Drosophila melanogaster: one gene and its partners. The protein of the gene in region 2 interacts with the protein of the main gene of each other region in a pairwise test. Each region holds a gene or a part of one and is shown on either strand. Other genes may lie near its edges.

The links. The genes of interacting proteins can lie anywhere in the genome.
Region 1: the proteins of lolal (region 2) and CG15812 interact in a two-hybrid assay, tested with the Drosophila melanogaster proteins (one large-scale study listed by BioGRID).
Region 3: the proteins of lolal (region 2) and CG6891 interact in a two-hybrid assay, tested with the Drosophila melanogaster proteins (one large-scale study listed by BioGRID).

The regions. Positions count from the first base shown.
Region 1 is NT_037436.4:3,158,140-3,162,562, reverse strand, and holds CG15812 (uncharacterized protein), read right to left. Parts: upstream 2,573-4,423; 5' UTR 2,467-2,572; coding exon 2,464-2,466; intron 2,457-2,463; exon of another isoform or gene 2,393-2,456; coding exon 839-2,392; 3' UTR 544-838; downstream 1-543. Other genes in the region: rasp, read right to left, coding at 1-364; ND-30 (NADH dehydrogenase (ubiquinone) 30 kDa subunit), read left to right, coding at 3,091-3,154, 3,215-3,289, 3,348-4,006.
Region 2 is NT_033778.4:18,153,576-18,159,794, forward strand, and holds lolal (lola like), read right to left. Parts: upstream 4,444-6,219; 5' UTR 4,367-4,443; exon of another isoform or gene 4,185-4,366; intron 3,318-4,184; exon of another isoform or gene 3,172-3,317; intron 2,805-3,171; exon of another isoform or gene 2,591-2,804; 5' UTR 2,419-2,590; coding exon 2,317-2,418; intron 1,917-2,316; coding exon 1,830-1,916; intron 1,768-1,829; coding exon 1,573-1,767; 3' UTR 520-1,572; downstream 1-519. Other genes in the region: adp (adipose), read left to right, coding at 1-271; CG10914 (uncharacterized protein), read left to right, coding at 4,721-6,219. UniProt on the Drosophila melanogaster protein: Required, together with Trl, for maintaining the repressed state of target genes including homeotic genes Scr and Ubx. May also be involved in the activation of homeotic genes. Binds to a DNA Polycomb response element (PRE) at the bithorax complex.
Region 3 is NC_004354.4:18,773,303-18,781,270, reverse strand, and holds the start of CG6891 (uncharacterized protein), read right to left. Parts: upstream 6,044-7,968; 5' UTR 5,693-6,043; coding exon 5,642-5,692; intron 4,774-5,641; exon of another isoform or gene 4,416-4,773; intron 1,639-4,415; exon of another isoform or gene 1,426-1,638; intron 591-1,425; coding exon 267-590; intron 194-266; coding exon 77-193; 3' UTR 1-76. Other genes in the region: CCKLR-17D3 (Cholecystokinin-like receptor at 17D3), read left to right, coding at 7,486-7,968.

The DNA.
Region 1 (4,423 bases), on a different chromosome or scaffold from region 2:
TCGATGACCAGTCCAGGTTTACACTAAGAGCCAAGGCACAGACGCCGATGAATCCCAGACACTGAAGGCGGGGACGTTTCCAGCGTATGAATCCTTGGACAGCCACGTGCAGCAAGTAAAAGGGCCAAAAGCTGACGATAAAGTCTCCAAAGTTCTCCAGCTCATCGTTGCTGTCATCCCGACGCCGCTGGGAAAAAGGATACAAACTCCAGCCCTCCGGAAACTGGAACTTTGCCTCCTTGACTATGTGATCCCGCAGCCCATAGATCTTGTACAGGCCCACAACTATATACGCTATATAGACCCCGAAGTAGACGAAAATTTCGCAGCGGGTGAGCAGGGATCGGTCTGGTAACCTTGACATCACTACACCACCGATTTGGACTCTTCATTCCGGGAAAAGATTGCGATAGGGATGTGAAAAACCAGCGAAAATATCGATATTTTTATACCCTTGCTGGAGAAGAGTACCGGCATTTTAATTACATGCATGTACATATTTCTCTCATGTTATAAATTTGACCCATTTAAAAAGAAGTTTTTGTTAATTTTTGGTTGTATTTAATTAACCAATTACGATGGAGTGAACAATAAAAGAGCAGCAGTTAAAATGGTAATGGTATCTACATATAGAACTAAGTCTACAAAACTACCTCTAGAATAGCATCTCTTGCTGCTCTTCCGGACTCAATTTTGGTTTCATCAGGAGATAGGATATGGTTGATGTACATACACTGATGGGACAACATGAAGTTAAACCCTATGCTTATGGCTTCTTAATGGTAACTTATTGATTCCAGCTGAACGTTTGTAAAACCAGAACTCCGAAGGCTTATTTCTAGTTTAGCATATCGTCTCCGTAATTGGCCTTCAATTCCTTCTTGACCTTTTTATTCTGGCTCGTCGTGCGTCGCTGCAGGTGTCTCCAGAGCGTGCTCTTGGGGATCTCGAAGAGGTTGGCCGCGTGGTTTTGGGACATTCCCTCATTCAGGCAGGCATGCACCGCCTTGGCTAATTTGTCGCGCAGCTCATCCTTGGGCGTATTGTCGCGCTTTCGGCAGGACACGAAGTTGGGCAGGCGTCCCTGGGCGGACAGACGAACCTTGTGTCTGTGCAACGTGGACATGGGGATTTGCAACTCACTGCTGATGCTCTTTAAAGAATGTCCATTCTTCAGTCGCTCGTAGGCCTCTTGCAGGGATGGTCGTTCCCGATTGTTTCGCATGTAGGCGGGATTAGTGCGCACGCGTCTCCAGAGGACTGTCTTGGAGATATCAAACCGGTCGGCGGCCTTTTGTAGGCTTAAGCCCTCGATGATAACCGCGTCGGCCGCCAGATCCAAAGCATCGTTGATATCGTCTTTTACCTCACGTTTCAGAGCTGCGAACTGCTGGATTCGCGTTGGCTTGCAATCGGACAATCGTTTGACAGCCTTCGCACTTATGGGGCGACGGATTCGCGTCTTTCCCCCGCCCAACTTGCGGGGCTTATCGTCTATTTCCTCGTCCACAAGTTGGTCGTGCACGTCGTCATCGTCGTCCATTTCAGTACCAGCTTCTAGTTCCATAAGAGGATCGGCTTGCGCGAACTCCTCGTCGATCATTTGTGATTCGTGCTCCTCAGAATCCTCAGCAAGGTCCGCATCCACGTCATCATCGCCCAGGTCCACTTCAGCGCCACTGGTACCCGTTTCATCTGCCTCAATTTTGGACAAACTCGATGCTGACTGCGTTATGGTGAAAGTGCCCGTGTTCTCGGTGAGTATAAATTGGTTGCCGCTGGAACTTCCGTCCATGTGCTCGATGGAGTAGGTGATCTTCGGCGGCTCGTAGACATCAATGTACTCCAATGACCGACTGGAATGGCTGGGCTGGTGTTGAGAACCCGCGAGTGTAGTGGCTGGGACGGAGACCATCGGATGTGGCTCTTCCTCGTCGTCCAGCAGCTCGGCCTCAGCGATTTGGAGTCCTGTAATGGACTTGGCCGACTCCACGGCTAACGAATGGTTCTCTACATCGACACTGGGTGGACTAGCCGATGGATTGCACTCAAAGCTGATGGCAGATTTGATGCCGAGGAGGTTAATGGCCTCCAGGAACTCGGGGAGCGACGCGGAGGGCAGGCTAGTCTCGCCCATGTAAATGAAGGACAGCATGCACTCCAGCAAATCTCCGCGGATGTCGGGCAGCATTATGGTTGCCTCCTGGCCGCGCGGAACGTCCACCAGGAGGTTGCGCATCAGTTCGCTGCAAGTGCTTAGCACGAATAGATGGGCGCGCACTCGAACGCCGTCCCTGGAGGCCAGCACCACCTCGCAGTGCTGATTATCATTACGCAGCGAGCGCTGGATGTCCATTATCGTGGATGAGTGGCCCATCCACTTAAGATGATTCTGCAAACGGCGACGATTGTAGATTTAAATTTCACTTATCCCGGGGATTTGGGAGGACGCGTTTCACTTACCATCTTGTTGTGTTTTGATTTCCAATTGATTTCCAAGAAGTTTTCAATTCTCGCAATTCCAAACGCAACGCGTTGTCACAGTTTTCAGCCAGGGTAGTCGAATGCACCTAAGATCTCGGTATTTCGGTATGTTTTCCATGAGATGTACTTCAAGGAACGTGTTGGTATTTTTAATGAAATAATAAATGAAGTAGTAGGGTACATTTCTTTTTTTTAAAAATCATTTAACCAAATATTCTAGAAAAGTTTTGTGGTTGGTAATGAAGAATAATTGTAAATGTTTTCCATCTGCTGTACTTCAAGGAACGTGTTGGTATTTTTAATTAAATAATAAATCAAGTAGTAGGGTATATTTATTTTTTATATAAATCATTTAAGCAAATATTCCAAAAAAATGTTGAGGTTTTTAATGAAGAATAATTCGGTGTTAACGTACACGAAATACAATAATGTATGTGCGGTATTTGTGTTGTACCGAAATTGTCAAAATACCGAAGTAGGGCTGTCGAGTAGATTAATTTGGCGCACTGACAACCCTAGGCTCCAACAACTATATTGACATTTTAGCATTACATAAATTGTCAAAAACGGAGCAAATTGTTGAATTTATATTGAACAGTTTGTAGAATGGCGGCCTTAATCAGGAATCTGGGTGCCCGTGCCGCAGTCGCCGCTCTGTCGGCCAAACATGGTTGGTAAATGCCTTGCCTCTAGAGCTTCAACTGATCTATTCTAACCCTTCAACAATCAGTGGTGCCCGCTGCTGGATCCACTGCTCTTCGGATGGCCAGTACAACGCCAGTGGAGCCTAAGAAGGCGGATAAGCGTAGGTAAAAGTCGACTTTATCGCGGTGTCAATTACATGTAAGACATTCCACCCACAGCCACTGTCCGCCAGCCGGACGCAGTCGCTCGCTCGCATCTCTCCGATTTCGGGCGCTATGTGGCCGAGTGCCTGCCCAAGTACGTGCAGAAGGTGCAGCTGACCGCCGGCGATGAGCTGGAGGTGCTTATTGCGCCAGAGGGCGTGGTGCCCGTGCTGCAGTTCCTTAAGGATCATCATCAGGCGCAGTTTACCAACCTGGTTGACATTGCCGGCGTGGATGTGCCCTGTCGCAAGAACCGATTCGAGGTGGTCTACAATTTGCTCTCGCTGCGCTACAATTCGCGCATCCGCGTTAAGACCTACACCGATGAGCTGACTCCTCTGGACTCCGCCTGCGAGGTGCATAAGGCGGCCAACTGGTACGAACGTGAGATCTGGGACATGTACGGCGTGTTCTTTGCCAACCATCCCGACTTGCGCCGCATCCTGACCGATTACGGTTTTGAGGGACATCCCCAGCGCCGCGACTTCCCGCTGTCCGGCTACGTAGAGCTGCGCTACGATGATGAGAAGAAGCGAGTCGTCTGCGAGCCCTTGGAGTTGGCCCAGGAGTTCAGGAAGTTTGACTTGTCGGCGCCTTGGGAACAGTTCCCCAACTTCCGCAACGCTAATCCCCCCGCCGAGGTAGTTCCGCCACAGGCTCCAGCCAAGAAGTAATCCGAAGTCGGTTTGTTAAATGGTAATTAGATCAATAAAACGTGATCACTATGAGATGTTTAAACATAATGGAAACGACGGTCTACTTAGCTATTTAGCTTTCTTGGCTCGTTCCTAAACTACTTCCACATGAAAACGCAATTCGTATCAAACCAGAGGGTCACAAGTATTTATTGATTTCCGTATTGTTTACATACATGGTAGTTTACACTGAGAATTAAACGAATTCGCCGGATCTAGCACATCCGAAAACCTCCTCGAGGGCCATGTGCATATACGTACATACATACATAGATATAAAACGTTAAGTAAAACAAGTGTGGGCCACTAGACAATTCGTGCGCCTGCGCAGCGGTGCCCGGCGAAAGTACAGGTGCAAGGACGTACTTAAGTTTAGGCCGGAGCGGATTGGGGTAG
Region 2 (6,219 bases):
CATTTGGGAGGGAGACACGGGCAAGATACGCGCCGTTTATCGGGCGGACAGTGCCATCGTGAATTGCGTGCAGCCGCATCCGAGCATCTGCATGCTGGCCACCAGTGGCATTGACCATAACATTAAGATCTGGTCGCCGTGCGCCGCCAGCGCCGAGGAGCGACCCAATCTCGTGGCGGATGTGACGCGTTTCGTTGAGGATAACCAGGAGAAGATGCGCCTCGATCCATTCGAACTGCACACGCGCAATGCGTACTGTTTCAATAATTAGGAACTGTGGCTTATTGTGCATCTTGATCTATATTGGCTGCATGCATGTGCAACAGCAAGCGAGATCCAATCGGCAATATATCAAATATTAGTGTAATTTAAGCTAAGCGAACATATTTTTGTTAATTTGTAAACGAATTACTCTGTATACAAAGTACGAAGCTTATGAAGGATGTTATGAAAGACTATTAAAATAAATGCAGACATGCAAATCGACCGGTTTTCGAATCGTAATTTAATGAAAAGCTCAGGATGATTTGCATTTGTTTTTTTTTTTTTTTTGTTTTAATTATTCTGTTTATTTACCGTAGTTTCTTTAAATCTATGCTCACATGTATACATATACATACATATAAATATTTTACTTTATGTAATAATATTCAAGTATAGTTTTTACTCAAGTTGTATTTTTCATTCTAACGTATTTCCTTACTCTTTTGTTTAAACTGTGTAGAACTGCTAGCTTCGCACTGAAACACCTTTTCTTCGTTTTGTTATTAATACAATATATGTATGTATCTCGCGTATGATCAGAAGTTGGGGAAAAACGCGCTTGTCCACACACAATTAATTGAAGTACAATTTTGCATTTGTTTCTATTTTATTGTTTAAATATAGATGAAAATGAGTTTGTCTGTCTGGAGGCGTGGCATGTCTGGGGTTGTAGTTAGTGGCTTAAAAACTAACCGAATGTGTTGTAATATTCGCGCCCGTCGTGGCTTTTTCCATCTACTTGCACATTTCACACTATATTTATAATTATCTTTATATATTTTAAATGGATCTTCTTTAATTACTTTACAAAAGTGCGTTTTTTGTTTTGTTTCGTTTCGTTATGTTTTGTTTTGCTTTAGGGGCTGCTGTCCATATCGTTTTATTTATACAGAGTGGTTTGTATTGTTAATAATATATTACAAACTATTTTATGCAGAAATTAAACAAAAAGAATTCAAATCGAGTTCTGTGGGGTTGTCGGTAAGTGTTGTTTTTTTTTTTTTTGCAATTTGGTTGATCAGATGTGAATGAGCGGGTGTGGGAGTGGGCGGGCGGATTTGGCCTCCACCTCTACTTTACAGGCTAATCATTTCAATCTGTCCAGCTTTAGCTTTGTGTGGTCATTTGTTGGCGTTCTTCATCCTCCTCGTGCACTCTTATATGAATTTGTATACCAAATGTCGTTCTCGTAATGTTGTTTCTTTTGCCGCTGGTTGGAATTTTGTTTTCTTGCGTACATATAAGTTTCTTATAGTTGGTTGTTGTTATTTATTATGTATTTTTTGTTTCGATTATTGTTTAATACCATCAACCTTCCCGCTTTATCGAACTGGGTGTCTCTGCGAGGCCTTTCACTTTGAGGCGATCGGCGGTCTTAAGAAATGCTGGCAATTGTTCCTGGGACACGTTCACCTCACCGGCGTACATGAACTCCAGTATAGCCTGTAGGTGAATGTAGGAGACATCTTTCAGGATAATGATCGGATGCTTCGATGGGTTCTCCTGCGGGTGCATACATTACATTATCAAACGATTGCTTAGTTATTACCGCGTGAAAAACTCACCTCCAGTAGCGCTTTAAAGTAGGGACTGCAAGCGGAAAGCACCATTTTGTGGGCTTTGCAGGTTTGGCCCTCGCAGGCGAGTGTTACCTGTGAACAATAAGCATTGGGAAATCAGTAAGATCCGCCAGGCATTTTCACCGCAACAAATTGAACAAAAACGCAGAGCGAAGAACGAACACAGGTAAAAGAAAAACGAATTGAAAATAGCGTGAGGGCCAGGTATCTGCTACTCAGACCAACTGAGCTCAGCCGGTGACTGACCCTCCACAAGGGGCGGCCGCGAGCCAATCGGGCCAAGAGTAGCATAATAAACCTCAGCGCGCCCCTGGGACTGGTTAACTACAGTCGAACTTCTATGGCTTGATTTTGACTGAATTTATAAGTAACTTCAAAATATATTGACATCTAATATCATCATTCTAACTAATAGTTCGACTGCAATAGTTTTTCCATCGCCGCTTCTGGAAAGTTTCATTTGGTTACTCACATCTGTGAAGCTCTTCTCGTCGCGCAGGTGACGGAACGAGGTCACCATATTCGTTTGAAAATCGTTCCATTTTAGAAAGAACTGTTGATCCGACGACATCATGAAGAAGCTTTTGTTTTGTGGGGGCGTCGCGCTCGCTGAACAGAATGCTGGGAGGGGGGTGGGCAGGAGGCTTAATTTGGACTAGTGACCGAAAGGTTCACCGTTAGATGGTCTTAATTCGCAGCGGACCGCTTAATCCGTGGGTTTTCGCTTGGGTTTTCTTTGACGCACTCTGCAAGAGAAGTAAACAGACAGCATTAGTGAACGAACGGTAACGGCAAGGCAGAGTAAGACAAACAAACAACAGCTTGGCGAAATTAGCAGTGAACGTTACGAGAGCATTGCAAAACAGCACGTCTCTTGGCCAAAAGTATTCTGCAAATATAAATGTGCTGCGGCGCATGTGCAGCGTTTGTGCAGTGGGAAATGGGAGTTCGGAATGCACAGCGTTGTTACTCTGTACATGTGTGAGTGAGCTGGAAAATGTCAAAGTGCTGAGACAGCGCTAAATAAAAACAGCAAACAGCTGCCAGCAAAGGTTAAGCAAAGAGGCAAAAATATCAAATCGTCGCTGGCTCGCTCTGTTGAATGCCTTTCACTTTTCAAGGCAATTTCTGCATTTTCAGTCGTACACACATGTGTACTTATTGCTTATTTGAATTCGTATGCGGCACAGTGGCTTAGAACGCGGAATTAGTCTGTTGCACGCGATGCACGCTGCAGCTGCCGATGGCAATGTATTTTTAGGCGCACTCCAGTTAAATAGCATTCATTCCGTGATTTTTGACCAAAAAAGAACCAAGATGGCGGCACCATTCGCACTTCCATTCAGTGACTTTGTCTTAATTTCACTCCCACTCCATCCCACTGTGCGGCCAACATGTGTTTTTCTTCTTGAGGAAATAGCGTTGTTGTTGATGCGACTCTCATATGCGCTACACTGGCAGCCGGCTGTATGTTTCTGCGTGGGCGGGGGAGAGCAGGGCATATAGTTTGCCGCCAGAGCTTAAACTTTAGTCTCACGCTCTCTGTGTCCCTCGTTCTCTTTCGCTAAGCGCTCTCAACTTTCAACTGCCGTTATGATTTCGCAATTACATTACAACAACAACAACTTAAAAGGCAGAGCAGACATCGCTGGAAATTCAGCTGCATAAGTGTAAGTGTGTGGCTGTGTGCGAGTGTGGGTAGGCGGCGGCAACTATCTCGCTTGCTCTTGCGCCCGGGGTTATCGGTAGCTTCTTCTAGGCTGAGTGCATTTCGTTGAATCATGGATGTTGAAAGTTGTCTAATTTCCGAACTATTGATTTTTCCCCTTCCCCGTCAAGAAACTGCATTGTTGCTTCTTGAAGACCAGTTTTGGTAACATCAGGAGAATGGAAAGGAGCGAGTGAGTCGGTGAGTAAGTGAGTGAGCGATGCGAGCGACAAAATCAACAACAACAACAACAACAACGGTTCAAAACGAGTTCCAACGAAAGTTGCAACACTCTCAACAATTTGAGCAGCTCCGTTTGTTGTTATTGCATTACTCAATCGGGAAGAACTCTACACTCGACGGAATAGTGTGCTCGTCTGAGATTTATTCTATTTCAATTCTTTTCTTTTGTTTTTGGTCAGACAATGGCGTCGGCAAACGTTCGTGGAAAGCCGCAGGAACCACCAAAATGCCTGGCGTCACATTAACCGAGCCGCCTTTGTTTATGCAAATATTATTGTAATATTTGGTTAAAATTAGGTCGCGCTTCGCGTTACTTTTTATTTCATATACACGCAGCAGCAGCACGCATACAGTCACGTCACGCACACATACAATCGCCGTTCACATACACTTGTCTTTTTTCCACACACTTTCCTAATCATTTTATTTGTTGTGCGCTGCTGCTTTTTACTCGGCGTGTACTCTGTACTTTTACCAATGCGTATATCGCCTGCCGACCGCCGCAGGAGCACGCTAATTGCGCCGTGGACACGCTTTTTCTATATCTTTTTGTTTCAATTTTAATACATACACGCTTTTTTTTTGTCCCGCACTTAACTCACCTCTGCTTTCTCGCTAACGCTGCTTTCTTTTTTCTCTTTCACCGATTTCGATTTTCGATACACTCGTGATTGTTCGATATGAATCGGCCTAATTTCGATGCGTTTTGTTTTTTTCCAGTTAATGAACACAAATTAATGTACTGAAATATCTTTTATTCGATTTATAACACAAAAAGCATTGCTTGAATTGATGCTTGTTATTTTGTACGCCAAATAATATAACAATCGTTCAGATCTATCGGCTAGCAGCCCTGACTATGTAAATGGTTTCGTAGCAAACGGCTTTAGTCTGACACTGTGAGAATTCTTGTGGGCATTGCAAAATGTTTAAAACCACACGTTTATATAAAATTATAAATAAAAATGTGGTTATCACATGTTCGAGGCGGCAGAATACCGCCGCTGAAGTGGGACAGAGCTTTCGGCAGAGGGCGTGGCTGCTCGCCAGAGAGCGGTACAAGGATCATGAGCACGTTCATTACAGCTCTGTTCTGGAGACCAAAATAAAACCCTCTTTCTCGATTCCTGAGACACAACAGCATTTGCCCGACGACTGGATGGACGACTACGAGTTCTATCAGGGCGCCCAGGAGGGAGGGAATAAGCAGGGCACACCGGATCCTTCGTTACCCGCCTCAAAGGTTCCATGCAACGGCTGCGGCGCAGACCTTCATTGCACGAATGCCTCCCTGCCAGGCTATATACCAAGTGAAATATTCAGGGATAGGACGCAGCAGGAACTGCAAACGATCACCTGCAAGCGTTGTCACTTTCTGAACCACTACAACATCGCATTGGATGTGGTGGTGGCCCCATCGACCTATGTGGACACCATATCCCGCATTCAAGACAAATTTGCACTGGCTATTGTTCTGGTGGACCTTCTCGATTTTCCCTGCTCCATTTGGCCGGGCATGCAAAACATATTGGGCGCAAAGCGACCCGTCTTCCTGGTGGGCAACAAGGTCGATCTGCTGCCGCGCGACTCCAACATCTATCTTCAGCATATTAAGGATTCTCTGCAGCGCGAGTTCATCAAGCATGGCGGTGGAAATGGTCTAAATATCAAGAATGTCAGTTTGATATCCGCCAAAACGGGCTATGGCATCGAGGAGCTAATAACGCAGCTGCACAAAACGTGGGCCTACAAAGGCGATGTCTATCTGGTGGGCTGCACCAATGTGGGCAAGAGCTCGCTGTTCAACATTCTGCTTAACTCGGACTACTGCCGGCCGGAGGCCAGTGACCTGGTGCGCAAGGCCACCACCTGTCCGTGGCCGGGCACCACACTCAAACTGCTGCGGTTTCCAATCTTGCGTCCATCGAACGATCGAGTCTATCAGCGCTTTAAGAGATTGGTTTCGGAGCGCAGCGAGAAGGCGGAAATGGAAAAGGAGCGTCGCGCAGTGGCAAGGGAAACGGGTTCAGCGGCAGCTGCTCAACCAGTGGCTCCGGTTGGACGCACCTTCGATCGACGCGAAAATCTCCATGATGCCTTTGCCATGGCCGGTGGCTCGCGACCGATTACAACGCTAAACGATCGGGGCAAGGAGTACAAGGAAGCGCGTTGGGTCTACGACACACCGGGTGTGATGCAACCCGACCAAATATCTCCCCTGCTCACCGCCGAGGAGCTGGTAAAGCTGCAGCCCGCCACCATGATCCGACCGCGCGCCTTTCGGCTGCGGCCCCAGATGAGCATACTACTGGGCGGTTTGGCCAGATTGGATCTGCTGGAAATAACAAGCCCAAGGAAACACTTTGACTGGCTGAAGGTGTTTGTATTTGCCTCAGAGCATCTTCCCATCATGATAGCAGATAC
Region 3 (7,968 bases), on a different chromosome or scaffold from region 2:
AAAGAGAAAGGAGCAGTTTGGTAAGCAGTTAAGAGTTGCAAAAAAAAATGTATATGTAAAGTAACTTGGAGGCCGCTTAGTTATCCCGGATGCCCGTTCCGTAGTTGGCGCCGCCGGCACGGTTCAGTGCTTCACGGAAGAGCTCAATGTCCAGCTCGGCCTCCACTCCCGCCTGAAGTTCCACGGCAAAATTCTGCAAGAGATTAGAGATGAGAGGATCTATTTCTGCCTCTGGGCTCTGGCATCTCTAGCTATTGGCTACTCACGTTGAGGACATCCTTGATCAGCGCCTTGTCCGTGGACATCTTGGCCCTCTGGATGACGCCCACCTCCTGCCCGATCCACGTCAGGAAGATGAACTTTTTGCGCTTGGACATCTCGTCACCCATCTGGATGCGTATGTAGCCAAAGGCGCGCTCCGAGTCGCCGAACTGCTGTCGGAATTCCTCAAAGCACTGACCGCGCGCATGTACAATAATCTGGGCGCCATCGAACTTGAATACCGCCCACTCGGTGTCTGTCAGATCGGAGCGTACATCCTCGTAGGCCTCGCGAATCGAGTCCTTCTCCAGCGACGTGGCCAGCGGCATCTGCGAAAGAGCAAGGGGGAAGAGGATTATAAGCAAGCGAAGAGGGGAACTATAAGCAACTTTCAGACGGAAGTATATATCTTAATCATGTATTCCAAGTCCGAATCGTTTCGCCAAGGCGAATGGATCATCCGCTTTGGCCCATCGATAGCGAAATGTATTGTATGTACTCAATGCGGGGCCAAGTACTCTTGACGGCGCCATCTATGAGTCAGATTTAAGCGGTGCTTTCGCTTTCGATGGTTATATTACATTCAATTCGACTTGTTTCCGTGTCAGGCAACCTCAAGTCGGCCAGGGGAATAGGCACGCCATTGCATCGCCCACTTGCATTACGTTCGGGCAGATTCACGGAAAGCAATTTGTTGCCGCTTTAGTGCTTTATAAACATAATACCAGCGGGCCAGCGGAAAAGTAGCCAATGTAAATATGTACATATTTCGAAGAAAAAATAAAGGCTTTATTATGATAACATACTGGAACATACCCGCATATTAAATTACAGCATTTTTGATAATGATATCAGCACACACATATGAGGGTTCAGGGTTCTGGTTCAAAGCCCAAAAATATGATGATTTAAAAATATCGATATGTAAATGAATTTAAATTGCTTGATAAGTTCGAATGGCTTGATAGTGAAATGTAAAAAACCAAGTCTCAATACGATTTTGGTTAGCTAAAGATTAATTTTAATTGTGGTTTATTAAGTGATCTTTGGGGTAGCATTATGTGCACAAAGTTAGGCTCAGCTTAGATGCGTGGAAAGCGTGTAAAGCGATTGGATCGATGGTTTTTGATACGAGTATACTTGTAGTACGGATCGGAAAACTACCCTTTCACGTAGTGCACTCTTATTGTCTTAAGCGGATCGCCGCATTAAAATCAATTTACGCGTGACAATTTTCAATCAGCAGCCGGCGGAAAGCAGGTCAGAGATTTGATAAGTGACTTGGGGTCGTCGGAACGGGATGACAACAAACAAAGAGAGCCAAATGACTGTTGGTCCAACTGCCAGCCAAATGGATCGGGCTTGGAGTCAGGAACTAGACTCGCGTATAAATAGACATTGAAGCTGGGCCAGAGATACGGATACAGATACAGCTAAAGGTACAAATACAGATACAGATACAGATACCGATGGGAAGATGGAGATAGAGATCGCTCTATAATGCGTTCAATGACCGGAGAGTACGGCGTCTGGTGAGAAAAATCAATTAGAAAAGCGACGACTGTCGAAAATATCAAAAGCCAAACAATTAAACCCAAAGATGTTTCGGGCGACGACTTTCACAACGCGACGCAGTAAGAACTTGGAGTTTGTATGTGTATTCTATGCGTCGCATAGAACTATGGAACAGCTCTGAATCTCCCGTTTCGTGGCTCTGAATTAATTAGTCGGAAGGCAGGCAAAAAAAAAAAAAAAATGAACAAGATGCGGACGCAAACTGTGCCAAAAATGAGCGGACGACTAAGAAACCGTTGCAGCGAATGACCCACCGAAAATACCCGACAAATTTTCCCCCAAACAAGCAAGATAGCAGATACAAATGTATATAGAAATGTCGGTGCTCCTCCTGCAACCTCCACGGGTACGTGAGCCAAATTGTTGGCTAAAATTAGCTGAAATTAAGTTTCCAGCCGATAAGCCCGATAACGTTCGCACATATGTATCTATATACATATATATGCCTATATGGCCATATCTCCACTTCTGACACAATGACAACACGACAAATTAGATCACTCCAGTTGGGCTGGGAGTGCACCCAAAGATCGGATAGGATAGGCTCGGATAGCCCCACCTCCGGAATTGACGCAATGCCATCTATTTGCTCTGATAAGAAAACTGTCGCAAAACTAAAGGAACTGTAATTGATTTATTACCGAAAGTTCTTGGGATCGCCCGGGCAATTAGTGCCGGTTAAATCTGTAGGGCTCGCCTGTTCCAATTTTACACGCCATAAAAATTCAGCAGAGATTGACGCTTAGTCATAGGAATCGAGATATTGCGCTGGCTTCAGGAAATATATCGAAAAAAGGGAAACTACAATAGTTTCAAGGAAAGTCAGAGTGCGTCATCCTCGAAAGATTCGCATAGAAAAGCGAGCGACAGTAGCCAGTCCATAATTGATACGGTTAATCGTGATTCGTGATTCTCGATGGAAAACAGTGAGCAACAGTCTGATAAGTAACCTTGTAGCGATGACAGGAAATGTATATGCATACATATTTTCAGTTTCACTTGGAACCACCAATAATCCTAACAGATCCATTGAGTTAGCCACCTTTCCAGCAGGAAAGCCATCTGCCAAACAATTCGCGCTACTCAAATGGCTTGCGGCCATATCCGATAGATAGATGTACATATGTATTATATCTATCTATATATGTGGATTCGTACGTAATGAGCCATATATGCCCATGTGTGCATTCATACAGCACGCTGCATTGCCAGCTAGATATATGTAGCTATAGTATCTATAGCTATATCCATCGATATCTGGCAATGAGCGGGCCGGCGATGCATCAAACGCGGCTATAACTGCAGCTAAACGTAACCAAGCATAATACAGCAAATAACAATTTGCTAACGAAAACGAAACCGAATCCCCAGCGCCAGGTGCTTGAAACTGACTTGCTGCGTAACTCAACGCTGATACCCTTGTGAAAGGTATCGCAGTTGTAGAAATTCTTGGGATACCTTTAAAATAAACATCTATGAGAACGTATTGTATGTAAATAATCCTGTCCTTAAGTAAACAGCAAGCTATCGAGAACTACAGAGTGAATGGTATTATATCCGTATCTTTTATCATTCGATGCCTGGTATACACCACTGACATTATTTCAAGTTAACTCTGTTTGTATAGTTTATATATCTAATTGTATGGTATATATAGATCGTGAGCTCATAAAGCAAATACTGAAGTATGAACAATAAAAGTTAGAGTATTCACTTTCGATTGCACTAAACATTTTGTATTTTATTCGCTTTTTCATTGTGTATGTACAAGTGGACCGAAAGTGTTTTATGTTGACTAATGAATTTCAGATAAGAAACGAAAAAAATTCCAAATAATACGATCGGGCATGAATAAAGGAAAATAAAGGAGAGGCGATGCAGATATATATATGACATACATGCACAGTGAAAACACAATATGCGGAATATTCGTGGGTCGATGCAACTGACTCATTGGCAAGGCAATTGGAAAATAACCAATAAATTGCAGCGAATCGGTTATTAACCGCTTCGCCTTGGCCAGACTAAGTCCAAAAAAAAAAAAAAAATAAATAAAACAAGCAAAAAAAATAATTGGCAATGTTGTGACAAATTGCCAGTTGCCGCAGCGCAGTCGCAATGACGTACTTGCTCCGGGTCTGGGACCGCCGATATGTCAATGTTCTTTTTCCCCCACTTTACTTTACTTTATTTCATTTCATTTTATTTCTTATTTTTATTCCGCTGCCGTCGATGTTTCATTCGCCACGCACACTAGCACAAACAGTGCAGGAAACAAAGGAGCAAACTGTTTTGTGGCTGCTCACGCCCCAGACGCCCGGAGTCGGGGGATCTGGGATGCCGGATGGGGTTGTGGATGGTCATTCTGATGGGTACGGGGTATCGGTATGGGGTACGGGTTGCGGGTTGCGGGAAACGAGGTTCCGAGTGCGTGATTCATGCCGCCTGAAGGTGACGACGACGACGACGACTCGGGGAGTGGATGACCAAAATTGGCGCGTCAGGAAGCGATTCCCGAGCATTGAAAGGGTGTGGAATGGCCGATATCCCCATCGATTCCATACACTTTTATTACTCACTTGTTTGCCTGCACTTGGAAACCTCGAAATTGTAATATTTATTGGCCTGCACAATCGTTTTGTTTGATGCCATAGAGATTAGGTTGGCGAACAAGTGCTGTGCACCAAAAGTCACATGAAACGCAGATCTTGCGATCAGCTGAACGAAGTACCCGCAAGATAATGGCACTGCAACCATTTACCCAGCTCCCAGTGCCCGCTAAATACCGTAATCTGGAAAGCTATACGTGTTTGCCAGGGCGACGGACTGCGCCGCATTAACCGCAGCGTCTTCGTTGGGTATCGATGGTGTCTCGAGATCCCAGCGAGCAAGTGCAGCAGCGGCAGCCGCACTGCAAACGCACTTGAACTTGATATGCATCGCTGCGAAGGCGTCGCATTCGGATTCAGTTTTTGGGTTCGGATTCGGATTCGGAGTCGCCCCCACAATCTGCATCCGCCCCCGCAATCGCATCCAGCCAAGATGATATTGCCCCTCGGTACTCAGTCCCTGTTCCTGCCCTGCCCTGCCCCTTTCCGCCCAGCCAGCCAGAGCCATAAAACCCAGCTGCCACCCCGCCTCCTGGACCTCTGGCCCTCTGGGGCCGGTTCTTGTGGAGCGGAGTCGCCGGCGAGCCAATGTCAGAGTTATTTACAGACACTCACGCATGCCCAGCGATATACACACACGCCGCATGGGCCTGGGCTTCAGCAACTCCAGTGTGTACACCGGAAGAAAACTGTATTTTGTATCCTTAAAGCCAATGTCCGAGTTCAATACCACTGTTGGTAATTGAATTTTTATATTATTGTATATTTCTACTAATCCCCAATATTTTTCAATATATATTTGAACAATTTAAAGTTCGAAAATCGATCATTATTCTCAAGAGAATATTATTTTTTTTTAGCATTCTTTAATTGTAGGTATTTATAATGTAGTGGTGATTAGAACTTTCTTCCATTTTAAGGTTGTGCCATCGGATTGGCTCAGCCTTAAAAGTGATCAGCATACTGAGTACCCGTTTTCTTTCGGTGCATTTATAAGATATCTCTCCGGCCTGCTCTCTGACTCTCTGGACTTCTGGCTGCCCCATCCAATCTTTTATAATTCTTAATTTTCGGTCGTCCCCTGCCGGTATACACACACATTTCATGGTCCCTGCCCGGAGCAGGACTACCGACTCCATCCATCTCCAACTCCAACTCGAACTCCATGTGTGCCCAACCCACTCCCCACTACTCACCCTTCTCGGCTTGCTCTCCACCAATTGCTCGACCTCGATGCCGTCCGACATGCTGGTGCGCTGTGTTCTGGATGTGGATGTAGATATGGTTTTCAATGCGCAGCTGGGATGCTGGTGCTCTTGGGAACAGCTTCCTGGGATCGCGGGTGAGTCTCGAAGGGGAACGGAGTGCTGGTCTGGCGGGAAGAGTTGACCGTTTGCAAGGTGACAAAGTGGCAGAGTGGCAGAGTGGCACAATGACAACGAAAACAAAAATACACAGCGCCAGAAAAACAACAAAAAAACACAATCCAAGCGCACAAAGAGCGATGGACAGAACCAGCACAGTTCCAGATATCCAGATATTAGAGCAGCCGCTGAACTTCGTCCGACCACCACGAGTTGTATCTCACGAATGCGGCGTTGCCGGCGTCTGCAACTCCGAATGAAGTGCCGACCGTCGACCGCCGAAGTCGGCGGCGCAGTCGCCGTGCGTGCGAGCGAGATGCACTGGCCAGAAGGCCCCACGGCAGCTGTTAGACAAACAGCAGGTGCGACAGAGACGGCTGCGTGGGGAGCAAGCGAGAGCGGGCGAACTGCGACGATGTCGCCGCATTTGGCTTTATTTTCATTTTCATTTTCAGTGCAGGCATTTCGGAAACACCAAAAAAAGCCAGATGTTGGCTAGTGTTTTATGCGTACACCGCGAGAAAATTTAGTCTGCTAGATGCTCCTATAATGATAATGAAGTTTGCATAAATACTTCGTGTTAGCCATCTTAACTGGCAATGGCCACAGGAAACCATAACATCGTGCGCAAATATATGTATAGTCAGATGGATAGAAAAACAACGACTGTACTCCTCCATCTAAACTATGTACGTCCTTAAGGATCAGCTGAATCCCTTGAAGAAGATCTCTTCCTCGATGGTGAAGAGGCTTACGAGAAGTGAATTCTATCTATTCTATCAAAACATGAATTTATTGGATTTATTGGGTTTCTTCGGCAACACGGATTCCTGGCATAGTCATATCCAGTATCCCAGTGGAGTCACGTCTTACCACTGCAGCTCCCGGTCATGTTATTTTCCTTCATCGAGGGCTATTCCATTCACTTCCTGCGCCGAAAAAACGAGCAACAATTGCAAGCGAAAAGGTAGTCTTTGAAATAGATGCTATAGGTGCTAATCGGAATCGCTATATATCCAAAACTATGTCTAGATCAGCACTGATCCCTGCCAGCTTGTCGGCTGGGAATGCGATCCGTGGAATTAGCGCAGAACATTTGTGCAAACACATAACGAGCCGAGATTGTATTCTCTGGCACTCAAGTGCCGTAGGAATGCGGCTGATTTGATGATTAGCGCGGTGCGTGGGCCGAACAGCAGCTGCTCCGCCGCTGCAGACGCCATGGATGATGCAGTGCACCGTATTAATTTGTCCCAATCGGCAGGGAACGTCCTCCGCGCAACATGGGAGTTGCCCGGCAACAGGGCTGCCTGGCAGCATGCTGCTAGCCACAAGTTGCCGTGGTGAGTTTGCGCCATTCGGCATCGCCCACGCAACATGTTGCGGCAGCTAGCCCAGCGGAGCGGAGGCGTCGTCCTCGTCCGCCAGTCGTCAGTTGCCCACGACGCGTTACCCGCAACGGTAGCAGGCGAGCCCTCTCCTGGCAGCCAAAGCCGCCAGCTCGTGTGCTCGGATACCCCCGAGTTCCATATCGCAATCTTTGCCAGCCTGCGCGCAAGCGTCGCCGTTTCAATAGCAATTGAGTGAAATTTTATTTTATTTTTTTCGGTGACCCGCAACGGGACATGTCAGGCGGTGGTGGCCAGTGATTGCCACGAATCACCCGGTCATCCGGGATGTTCAACTACGAGGAGGGGGATGCCGACCAGGCGGCCATGGCTGCAGCGGCTGCCTATAGGGCACTGCTCGACTACTATGCCAATGCGCCAAGTGCGGCGGGTCACATAGTGTCGCTCAACGTGGCACCCTACAATGGAACTGGAAACGGAGGCACTGTCTCCTTGGCGGGCAATGCGACAAGCAGCTATGGCGATGATGATAGGGATGGCTATATGGACACCGAGCCCAGTGACCTGGTCACCGAACTGGCCTTCTCCCTGGGCACCAGTTCAAGTCCAAGTCCCAGTTCCACACCCGCTTCCAGCTCCAGTACTTCCACTGGCATGCCCGTCTGGCTGATACCCAGCTATAGCATGATTCTGCTGTTCGCCGTGCTGGGCAACCTGCTGGTCATCTCGACGCTGGTGCAGAATCGCCGGATGCGTACCATAACCAACGTGTTCCTGCTCAACCTGGCCATATCGGACATGCTGCTGGGC